3 linked regions of the Caenorhabditis elegans genome follow. The protein of the gene in region 2 interacts with the protein of the main gene of each other region in a pairwise test. Each region holds a gene or a part of one and is shown on either strand. Other genes may lie near its edges. The genes, in order: ceh-54, nhr-91 and ztf-26.

What was found.
Region 1: the proteins of nhr-91 (region 2) and ceh-54 interact in a two-hybrid assay, tested with the Caenorhabditis elegans proteins (one large-scale study listed by BioGRID).
Region 3: the proteins of nhr-91 (region 2) and ztf-26 interact in a two-hybrid assay, tested with the Caenorhabditis elegans proteins (one large-scale study listed by BioGRID).

Annotation. Positions count from the first base shown.
Region 1 is NC_003284.9:6,192,500-6,196,257, forward strand, and holds the start of ceh-54 (Homeobox domain-containing protein), read right to left. Parts: upstream 1,743-3,758; coding exon 1,728-1,742; intron 1-1,727.
Region 2 is NC_003284.9:15,307,735-15,311,492, forward strand, and holds the start of nhr-91 (Nuclear hormone receptor family member nhr-91), read left to right. Parts: upstream 1-1,640; 5' UTR 1,641-1,644; coding exon 1,645-1,805; intron 1,806-1,862; coding exon 1,863-1,968; intron 1,969-2,019; coding exon 2,020-2,108; intron 2,109-2,665; exon of another isoform or gene 2,666-2,959; intron 2,960-3,634; exon of another isoform or gene 3,635-3,758. UniProt on the Caenorhabditis elegans protein: Orphan nuclear receptor.
Region 3 is NC_003279.8:8,859,588-8,863,345, forward strand, and holds the start of ztf-26 (C2H2-type domain-containing protein), read right to left. Parts: upstream 1,692-3,758; 5' UTR 1,686-1,691; coding exon 1,529-1,685; intron 1,352-1,528; exon of another isoform or gene 1,249-1,351; coding exon 1,174-1,248; intron 933-1,173; coding exon 777-932; intron 1-776.

The sequences.
Region 1 (3,758 bases), 9.1 Mb from region 2:
TGACCGAAATTGTAGGGATTCAAAAAAGCGACAGTGCTTCAGATTTCGCGACAAAATGCACTGACCCAGTTTTCCCCACTTTTTGAGTCGAAATAAAACATTTCCAAAATTTTTGTCTAAAATATTTGCATGAAGTTTAGTCCTTTTTCCACTCGGTAGGCGTATGCGCACATACCGCGCACTTTCCGAGCGGTTTAATACATTTGTTTTTAATCCGCTCGGAATGTGCGCGGAATCTGCTCAGAATGTGCGCGGAATGTGCGCATAATGCAGGGCAGTTAAAAAATGAGGAACACCAAAACGCAATGTGCGCGGAATGTGCTCATGATGCAGAGTGGTGGTGTTTCACTGCCTTTCGCTTGCAGTGTATTTTGATTGCCAGTGTCCTTGCTGCGAATTGAACCTGTGATGTTTTCCCTGAAAGTCTGAAGTCTTACCTGTTGAGACATAACGCATGCGATGTTAATAGCAGTTAACGCGCCATAAATATAAGCAAATGAGAAAGTCAATGGAGAAACATAGAACTAACGATAAAGCATTTTTGGCACAGTAATTCAATAATAAAGGATTTCTCATTGGCTTTTGAACTTGTTTTTCAATCACATATTTATGGAAAAATGTGAATTAAGTATTTTTCCGTTTTTAAGCGTTAATGTGATTATTTTACTAGAGAGAAATCATGTCAGCGCATTTTTATACTTTCATGGTAATTTAGAAGTCTCTAATTAAGTGAACTTTTTGTTCTAGAATTCTTTCCAGAGATTCACAGATAATTCAGTTTTACAACAGCTACATGACAATTGATTTTTCAATCAGGTCAAAAAGAGACTTTGTGTGATTGTAAAACTTCACAACCTCTTCAATTTGACTCCTGGGAAAACATTTGAACGCTTTCTTCTCCAGTATACATTTTCCCCCTAACTATAATAGTAAGCACATATCTAGATATATAGTTTTTAATTTGAATCACAATTTTGACTTTTAAAATGTGGGACATTATGCAGTTGTAAATCAATAACGATAGACGGCGTATATTTACAACCTGTTAACCCAAATATAATATTTCTGAAAACATATTTCAACTCTACAGTGACGTTGTTGGTATTTTACAACTATTTCTGTCGAGAATGTGCATCATTTCAAAACGAACTATGAATGTTTCACAACGTTATTGATGAATTTTTGGTTGGAAACAATACGCGGATTTGTTTTTGAATGAGAACTATTAAAACCATTTCTCTTGGCTCTAATTTTCAAATATCAGAAATACTATTAAATATAGACTCGGACATAAAATTTAAACAATGCTATAATAATTTAGAAAGCAGAAATTGAGCATTAGTTGTAGATTATCTAAGTCAATGTGCGCAGAATCGGCGCGGAAGTTGCGCGGAATATGCGCAAAAGACTAATGGTGGGGAAAATGGCCACATCGAAGGCAATGTGCACTGAATGTGCGCGGAAAGTGCGCTGAATGTGCTCAGAATGCATGATTTCTGGATGAAAAAACACACCAAAACCAATGTGCCCAGAATCTGCGCGGAAAGTGCTCAAACGGCTAGCGGTGGAGAAAATGGCCACGCCAAGGGCAATGTGCGCTGAATGTGCGCGGAAAGTGCGCGGAATGTGCGCATACGCCTACCGAGCATTATAGAAATGAGTTTTCATAATTTCCCCGCAGACTATACTTGACCTTTAAAATTATTGATAAAGGTGTGAGAACGTACCTTAAGTTGCTCCATTTGTAAAATTTTGATTTTCAAATATTAATAGAAGAACAAACTGAAAATTATTAGATTTTTAGCAAATAGATAAAATTACAAATTTCATTAAAAAGTTAATCCTCCAAAAAAACCAAAAAGATCGCCTTAAGTCTATTACGTACAAATTTACATACAATAAAATGTCAACTAAAAGTCAGAAAAATATAGGCTTATAGTGGGATTACGGGATCAATAATGTTATTTCAAGGTGTAATGGCGTCAACGGCGTATCCTGTGTTATGTAATCTCCCTATCACCAATAGTATAGATAATGCGCTTATTCAAAGTGAGCGGAAACTTTCTGTTTCCGGAACAGCAAAAACACACGAAAAGAGTGAGCATCGGAAGTAGTTGTCGAGATATTATGAAATTCTAATCTGTTTTAATAAAGAGATGCTGATATATATTGTACAAAATCAAATGATTATTCAAAAACATTTTCATTTAAAAACAAAATTTTCAAAAAACACTGGAAATCTTATACTTTTAAAAAATGGCAAAAATTCATCAGTATATAATACCAATCTGGTTTGCTCAAGAATCTGGCTGAAAATTATACTGAAACCAGAAGATATCATGCAAATCTCAGAGCATATAGAGAAACAAAAAGGGGTAATTTGTACTAATAGTGGCACGAGGCAAGTAGTTTCTAACCTGAATTCACTCTGTGACAGGTGTGATCAGAACTAGGACGTGTTCGTAATAATGTAGTCAAAAAATTCGAAATATTATATTTTCATACTAAAGCTATAGTTTGACGACAACGACTTTCGGATGTTCATTGTCTCGCGCTTACTGCAGATTAAATTACAAAGGTTATAAGATCTGTGAAAAAAGAGGAAAGAGAACACGGATGTTTCCATTTTAGTCTTCATAATGGTTTTCCCGCAGTAAATGTCAATCCGATGAACCTTGACGATTAGCATAATCTCCACGCTGATGAGCAGAGTAATGATTTATGAAAGTGGATGAATATGCTTATTAGATTTCAAGTTGAGCATATACGAGCAAGAGCTTGATGGAATTAGGCTATTGCGGGAAAACAGGAAATAGTCCTTTAGTTTCTGGTGAAACCAAGCGCCCATTAGAAAATTCTATGAACAGAAGTGAAGCCATTGATAATGTGGCCTATTAAAAGTATTCCCTGAAATTAATTATTTACCGCCAGAAAAACTAAAATACTTATTTATGTTGCACAACAAAATAAGTATTGCGTTGTCTTATTCAAAATAACTCTGACAAATGAGAAATAAAAAATTGATACTAAAATAGTTTTTTTTTCAAAATCTGAAAATCAAAATGTATAACATTTAAAATCAGATTTTAAAAGCACAGAATAAGCGTTCAATTAAGAATATTTTTAACGAAATGGTAGAGTTGCAAGCTTTTTTATTGCACTACATAATTCAAACAGACTTTGAGATATTAAATTTCACATTATAGATTTTAACATAATTTTTAGAGTTATTTCAAGATTAATTTTCAGTGGAAAAAATTGAAGACGCGTGAAAATTTTTTTGAATTTTTGGTTTCAGAAAAATAAAAAAGTGGTAAGGATTGCTAAAATCATCTATTTTGTCATACTCTGCCGGAAATTGATTTTTATTTAATCACATTCCTTTTCCGGTTTGAAATATGAAAATTATTGGCTGAAAATGTATCAAGTTCATCAAGAAGGCAAATAACCAAAAGTATGCAAGACAGTGGTGTAATCGAAGTATTTTTTTCCGAAATCGAAGAAAAGCTGTTTCAATTTTTTTTTAACTCAAAATTCTAAAAATTATTTGGAGTTTTTTTTGCAAAGCTATTTATATTTGAAAACATAAAAACGTTATTAAATGCCGAAAAGAACGTCATTCACAAACCAAAAAAAATCAGTTACGTTTAAAATTAATATTTTTCATGTTGTTTATAAAATAATGTTTCAGTTTTGACAATTGGGAATGTACTTATTTGAAATATTGTGTTTTAAAAAAATAACATGTATTAAACAAA
Region 2 (3,758 bases):
GAAAATAACCTTATGAGATCGTCCAGTGAAAGGAAATGGAGACAAGAAGAGGCGCCGGTGGAAGGCAGGGGCAATAGGAGGAGAGACCTACTGTCACTCTCGTTTGACCGGCAATAGGCCCGATTGAATGTACGCGGTTTTCACGAATTTCAAGGTCTGACCCACAAAATTTCGTTCGCCCTCCATGCATCTTTCACCCAATTTTGCTTTTGCGCCAATATCCGCGCGCTGTCCCCCCCCCCCCCCCTCCCTCCATCCTTCATCCATTCCGGCTTACCATCGTCTCTCTCTCGATTGTTGTGTGAATGTGTGTGTGACCTACCGACCTACAGTTTAACTTTCTCACTTTGTACTTTCTTGAATTATCCTCCTCTCCTCCTCAACCGCCTTGCGTTTCGTTTTTCTTTCTCGCATTTTCATTTTTGTTCGATTAGTATCCTGGTTACTGGATCAGCGATGTAGCAACAATGTGTTACAAGTTTTGAAACTAGCAAACTAGTTGAAAAAGTCTGGTCGATAGCTTATCACTTTTATGATTAACATGTTTCATTTATTTTCTATATCTGTTGCATTTCCGCCATCGTTGAGAATCGCTATTTTTCTAGAAACTAACTCAATAACTGTCAAAATGATGATTACCACGTTTTTTAGGCTCAAACCAAACCGGTATGTACTATTTCGGACAATAGAAAAACTGTATCACTTTGGAATAATTTTTTTTTAAACCTCACTGTATATTCCTTTGTAACAACTATTTGTATACAGCAGATATATAGGTTTGGTTTCAAGATATTAATAATATGATTAGTTTCAATACTATAGGAACATAAGTTTGATAAGCTTTTTCTCTATTTTCAAATTGAGCAAATTCTTGCAAATAACCGTAAAGTATCTTGCAAGTTAAATTGGTAAAATCTGTTTTTCTGTTCATGGAATGTTTAGGAACAATAATTGATTCTTTTTAATTGTAGCAAAACTGATTTGTCAAACAAGTAACTTTTTAATGTTAAAAACTCTATTGTTATTTTTATTCTCATAAACCTACCACTACAGTTTTGTACCTTCTCAACCCACCCGGCAACGGCTCTCAGTACCAGGCGGTGACGTCCAAATGCTGCCATTTGGCTCTCAACGAGCTCCGCCGCCAAATGCGTGACCTTGAAAATTGGTAGACGAACCCCCCCCCCCCCCCTTCCACCGTCCCGTCATTTGAAATGCTCTTTTGCACACTCTGATCTCACTTCGATAAACTCGACCGGCCCTACCATCCGCGCTTTTTGTACACTGCGATTCTGACTCAGAAGTGAGGAAGATTTTGTACCTCTTTCGAACACACAATTTTACTTTTTTTTTGCTTCAAAACAACTATACAATTATTCTGACTTTGTTCGGTCTTGATAATACATTTATTCACACGAGGGAGCTCATTTCCTATCTTCTTTTCCGTTCTGATTACTATACAATCGCTCAAAAACTGGGTAACAAAAATATTATCGCATTTTCACGACATCTACAAGTCTAAACCAATTGTTCTTCTTTGCTCCCCCTCCCATTTACATACCCCATTATACTGTCCCTACCGTATGTTGCCTGCTCCATCTGCATACATTAATGACCTCTGATTAATGAGCCTCTTTCAGTGCGATGGACGTTGCGGACTCGACATCTGAGACGCCACCTGTTTTTGACCATGACAACTTGGCTCTCGCGGCACAGACCAACTTGTTGCAGTTCTACCTGACACATTTGGCATCCACACTGGTGCCGCCAATGAAATTGGATATGAGAGACTCGATGACTCCAAGGTAATTGCATTTTCCTGAAGATGTGGAGAGCTTAGTTTCAAAATTTTAAATTTTCAGCTTCAGTCAAACCGAAAGCCCAAACTCTGAAACCGACGACTCCACTTCTGCAGCAAACAAAGTTCTATTCTCTATTCTTGGAACTCCAACAACAGACAGTACTTCGGTATGCGAACTGAATGAAAATTATTGAAATTATGTAGTAGAACAATTACAGAATGCCGTTTCAAAATCCAGCAGCAAGCTGTGCTCGGTATGTGGTGACAAGTCAACCGGTCTACATTACGGTGCTGCCACCTGTGAAGGGTATGTGCATTTAGATATTAAAAATACGGAGGGGGGGGGGGGAAGTTCATACTTCGAGCAACAACAAAAAACTTTTTTCATGTATTTTGAAATTTACGCAGTTTCTGCTGTTTTCTGACCTCTGTTTTGAATTGTGGTACTTCCAATTAAGACATTGATGTTAATAGGATGCCATATAATACTATTTCAGCACTACATAATTAACCAAATTTTTTGTTTCAAAATATACATCTGGAATTATCTTTCAATCTGTATCTCTGTAATTAATTAATTAGGCAAGTGTTTTTACTGTTTGATGCTTTGAAATAGTGATGCTTTGAAAATTACTCTAATATAAATATCCATGCCGATTTCATAATTTAATTTAGTTTCACTTCACTTTCTTCCCTTTGCTTATATCTTGTTTTCTATCGAAAGTTTTCATATTGTTATTTTTCTTTTCCCGGGTGGTCAGAAATCTGTTCCGCTCGCCCTCTTCCAGGATCAACATAAAAACTGTCTGGAGAGAAGAAGGGGGAGAGCTATTAACGGAATTAGTGATCGGATCGGGAAAGCGAAAGTGGTGGTGGGGGGCACCACACCAGTGAAAGTCCAGTTGTCAGCACCAGTGCGCTACATTTTCATCCGATGCTGGGGAGGGGATGCTGACGCCGTCGCCGCCGTCGTCGTCAACGTAGACACACGTCCGCCTCGGGTGCTGGAGGGGGGGGGGGGCAGTCAGATTTTGCGGCCTTCAGAATCCGCGATGATGGTCAAGGCCTTCAGCATGACACGACGCACCGCCGAACACCCAGTCAGTGAAATGTTGCGAAGGGCGACGGCCGGCCAAATGTGTCACGCACCTCGACCATTCGTTTCTCACTACAGCGCCCTTCTCGCCTCCCGGTTGACCCTCGGTTTGGAAGGAGGTGAAGTCGGTAGTGGAAGTGCACTTTGAATCGGTTTAGACGGTTTTCTCTAGGTCACACGCACCATAAGAACTTGTTTCTTTTTTTTTCAATGTGTTACTATAAAAGTGATACTATCTGAATAAACCCTAAATCATAAACCCTTAAAAAAATATTTTTTTAACTCACAATTTTTCCATTTACAGCATAAACGTTCCCAAAATTATAGGCGCTCATTGTAAATATTTCATCTCAGCTTGCTGTAAATATTTCTATTTGACTGTACTGTTGTAAAGAACTGTGATTTTTAGTTGATGTCCGTCGAAATAATTATCTGAATAAAAAAAAACGCAATTGACCCGCACTTACGATAACAATCAAGCTATTTCACAAAAACGGGAGAGCTGCGAAAGTTCCCCCGAAAGTTCAGAACGGCCTTCCTAAGATAACAATCAGTGTACCACACCGTACTCAAAGTACAGAGGACACTCGGATAACGATCAAAGTAGGTTTCAGTAATCGACAGCTCAGTTAGAGAAAGTTCAAGTAATACATATTAGTCTATATCATTATCAATCGGACATATTGTCTCTCCGGAAAAAAATGTCGGAGGTCGACAAGGTTTTGTTAGGGAATCGCGTCGGACAAGGTCGGTTCAACTGGTGCCATTTGCGTACCTCTTCTCGTCACCTCTACTTTTCGGGGCCGCTCCTCCCCATCTTACTCGCTGCCCCACCTCTCATTTCTGATGACCACGACCCAA
Region 3 (3,758 bases), on a different chromosome or scaffold from region 2:
GCGAGTTTTTCTGTGTCTTTATGAATATTTCCTTATCCTGTAAATTGAAAACTACGAAAATGTTCCCGGCAGTACAATAGTTTGCAGAATACTCGCAATTTACTATCATCTAGAGGGTTTCCCTCTCAACCATGAGCTGAGCCATTAAGATCCAAAGTGTTGTAAACCTATTCTTCTCCCCCTATCACTTTTTCCAACATCCCCCACTCTCTCTCTCTCTCTCTCTCTTTCACAAAACTTCCCCCTTGCACCATCAATCATTTTCCTAGATCCTAGAATATCAAGAATAAGATGCCAGTGTTTCTGATTTGCATATGTAAGAAGTTTCACACGGCTTGGTACTGTAGCAGCCGAAAAAGTTTGAAGAATTTTTCGTATAAGAAAACACTTCCAGACAAAATTGTAAGTAATGCAATTATGGCAAAGGTGGAACTGTATTTATAAACATTGTAGATTCATATTCAAGCTGTTACCGGGTTCCAGAAAAATGTCGAATCATCGATTTTTTTAAATTATGACAATTATTAAAATTTTTCCGATCTTCAACATTTTTGGCGTTACATGAATTCAGTACTGACACAACGTTGTAAATTTACATATTTAGGCATGGGTATATTTACCCGTACAAGCACCAATTGGGTAGAATACCAATAAAAGGAAAGTTGTTGAAATTAATTAATATTATTATCGCCAAATTTTCAAAATTGTGTTTCTAATTTCATATTCCCTTCTTGATTCTTTTAACTGAATTTTCACATATATTCCAAATCACTCACATTTTCCAGTTTCATTAGCTCTTCGAACTTCCGCAAGACTCGCATCGATGTCTTTGATAAAATCACGAACTGGATAATCCTTATGATGATTTTTGATATGTACTCTTGCATTATCCCGTCGGGAATGAATTTTCAGACAATACGGACAGACACATGCTGAAAATTTACAAATGTTTTTTAAGCGCTTTACTGAACAAAATTGAAGCTGATTTTGAGCTGATTTTTGAAGAGTTTCAGAAACAACCTGCAAATAAGCTTTAACGAGAATCAAACTTTTCAAATTCCAAATTAAAATATTCGTTGGCTCCCCGAAGAATTTGCAGCACTTTTTTCAGTTAAGAAAACGATCAAACATTCTTACACATTTAACATGAAACAACTGCCGAGTTTTTTTTACCTCTAGCGAGATCTTCACTTGACAGTACCCAATTGATAATCTCTGATCTTGATCGACTTATGAAATCTTCTCTCGCTGAAATTATGACGACATTATATTCTTTTCAATTCTTGAAAATTTCGTATTGTGATATATTCTTCCCAAGAGGAATCCTCCAATGCACTATAGTTATTTCATCCTAAAAAAGCTTCAAAATCATCTTCCAAATGAAAAGTTCATATGCACTATTCTTTTTTGAAACAGCAAAGTCATGAGAAAATTTATTAGTCAGAGCCTAATTTCCGGTTACTTACGTGTTTAAATTGGACCAACAAGGAATTAGTTTCTGATTGTGAAAGAAAAATAATCAACTAACATCTTTTAAAAATCTTCTTTGAATCTTTTTGAATCTCTTCGCCAGGGGTATTTCTTAAATAAGGTCTTCCAAATCCTGAACTGATTCTAGCAATAAATTCCGGTGTCAATGGCCCAATGCCGTCATCATCAATGTGTGGAAAACCGTCAGAGGACATCTGAAAGTTTATAAAACATCCTAAACTTTGAACATTATTATTGTCGAGACGGAAAAATGTGTTCAAAATATTGTTTAAGTTTGAGAAACTTATAGTTAAGTTGAACCAACCAAATCCATAAATCGTAAAAATCGTAGAAAGTTTGTGCCCGCGTCTAAAGATTGGACTGTGCAATGTCCCCTCAGATTTTCTACATAGCGCTATCTAAATTTGATAAAATCGTGTGAAAATTGAGAATAAAGTTTTTTGAGTATGCTGATTATGAATATACAATTGTTTTCCGTGTCACAGTTTTTCGATCTTTGATGTATCAAAAATTAAGGGGATCTTGGACGTGCACACTGTACTTGAAATGTTGAAGGTATACGGTAGCATAGATCCTATCCTACTCTTTCAGAGAGTAAACGTCAAAGCCTTTGGTAAACAGAAAATCGAAAAAGTAACTGAATTATAAATCTTCTCTAATCAAAATTTCTTCAAATTTAGTTTTCCTAAACACCAAAAAACGGCTGTGCGGGGCAACCAGGGCAACCAAATAGGAAAAAATCAGGGGCGCAGAGAGAAGAGATGTGAATAAGGGAAAAAGAGGACTAAACCAAGTGGCAGCTATGACAGCCGAGTGTCTCTCTCTATTTCTCTCCATATCTTTTCCTACTTTTCACTAGAACGTCGCAAGACTCCGCCCATTTTGCCTGAACCCCTTGCACTTATTATCTAGGCATTGAGATATGTTTCTGATAAACGTTGTTGAATGGAAAATGAAAAGTACATAATGACTGAAATAATAAAGAAACTCTTGGCGAACTGATTTGAATTTCAATGTATTTCCCTGAAATGTTGAAGTGGCTTACTAGGGAACCGTCACAAGGTGCCTATTGGAGTTGCATATGAGACCTATGTCATTCGATAGCCCATGTCTTAAAACGGTTACTCGTAAATTTTTAGCTGCGAAACTCTAGAAACAAGCTCACGACGTGCTCTCAACGATCCTAAAATAGTACTATAGCAAGGCGAATTTTTCATTTTTCGTTCAAATAAAATAAAAAAAAGTTTCTTCAAAAACAATTAAATACCAATAAAATGTTGGTATATAATGTTTTTTCACAATTTTGAAGGTGAAACAATCATTTTTGCTGAAATTGGAACGAATTGTTGCTTGCACATGCTCTTACAGAGCACAACTTTGACAGCTCCAATCTTGTTGCACAAGGAAGATTTCAAAAAGCTATCAACTGCAAATCTATGAAGCACATTAAGAACAACATTTTGTTAGTTAAAAATTTGTTTTTATCTAAAAGAACTGGGGAACTAGAGCAGTTTTCGTTAAGTGCGCTTTCCCACTAAATTTTGATTGATTCCCACTCTGAAATTCTGAGAACACAAAATTTGCAACAAAATGGCTACGGGGATTTTCAAAAAAATTAGTTTGAAGCCAGATATTAATTTTCAAAGTTTGGAAAATGTACTAATTTTGCATATAAATGGTCAATTCCATTTAATCTCAAAATGTGCTCTAAAAGGTATGACTCAAAATTCCCTTTTTTGTCTTGAACTCGGCGGTTATTGAAGTTTTTAGAATACCATTTTCATGGCTAAAAAGCGAATGTGGTAAAAAAAATCACCGTCTAATTTTGGGTATAAAGTTAATTATCTAGCGTTTTCAACTCGATTTAGGTATTTTGAATTCTGTGGACGAAGAGATTTGGTGAAACGTTTTAAAACAAATTTTGAGTCTAATAAAGCAATAAAAAATTTGACTACAACACTCCTGTAATCCCAAATTATGCCCCAAAAGGTTAATGGTTTTTGTGTCGTTGTAAATTTGGGTAAGAGTTTGGTAAAAGTTGGGTCAAAGTTTGGTTACTTTTTGGCGCAACCGAATTCTACGTTCGATTGTTATATAGATTATTTAGGCGTAAATCCAAAAACTAAAATGATTTTTGTTTTCATTTCATGTCACCTTTTTTACCGATTTTTCTCATTGAGACCCGAAGAACTCGGGGGATGTCCAATTGGGGGGATTACCAACTCGGGGGATTGGCCCCGCCCACAGAACCGTGGCTTGCAATACGC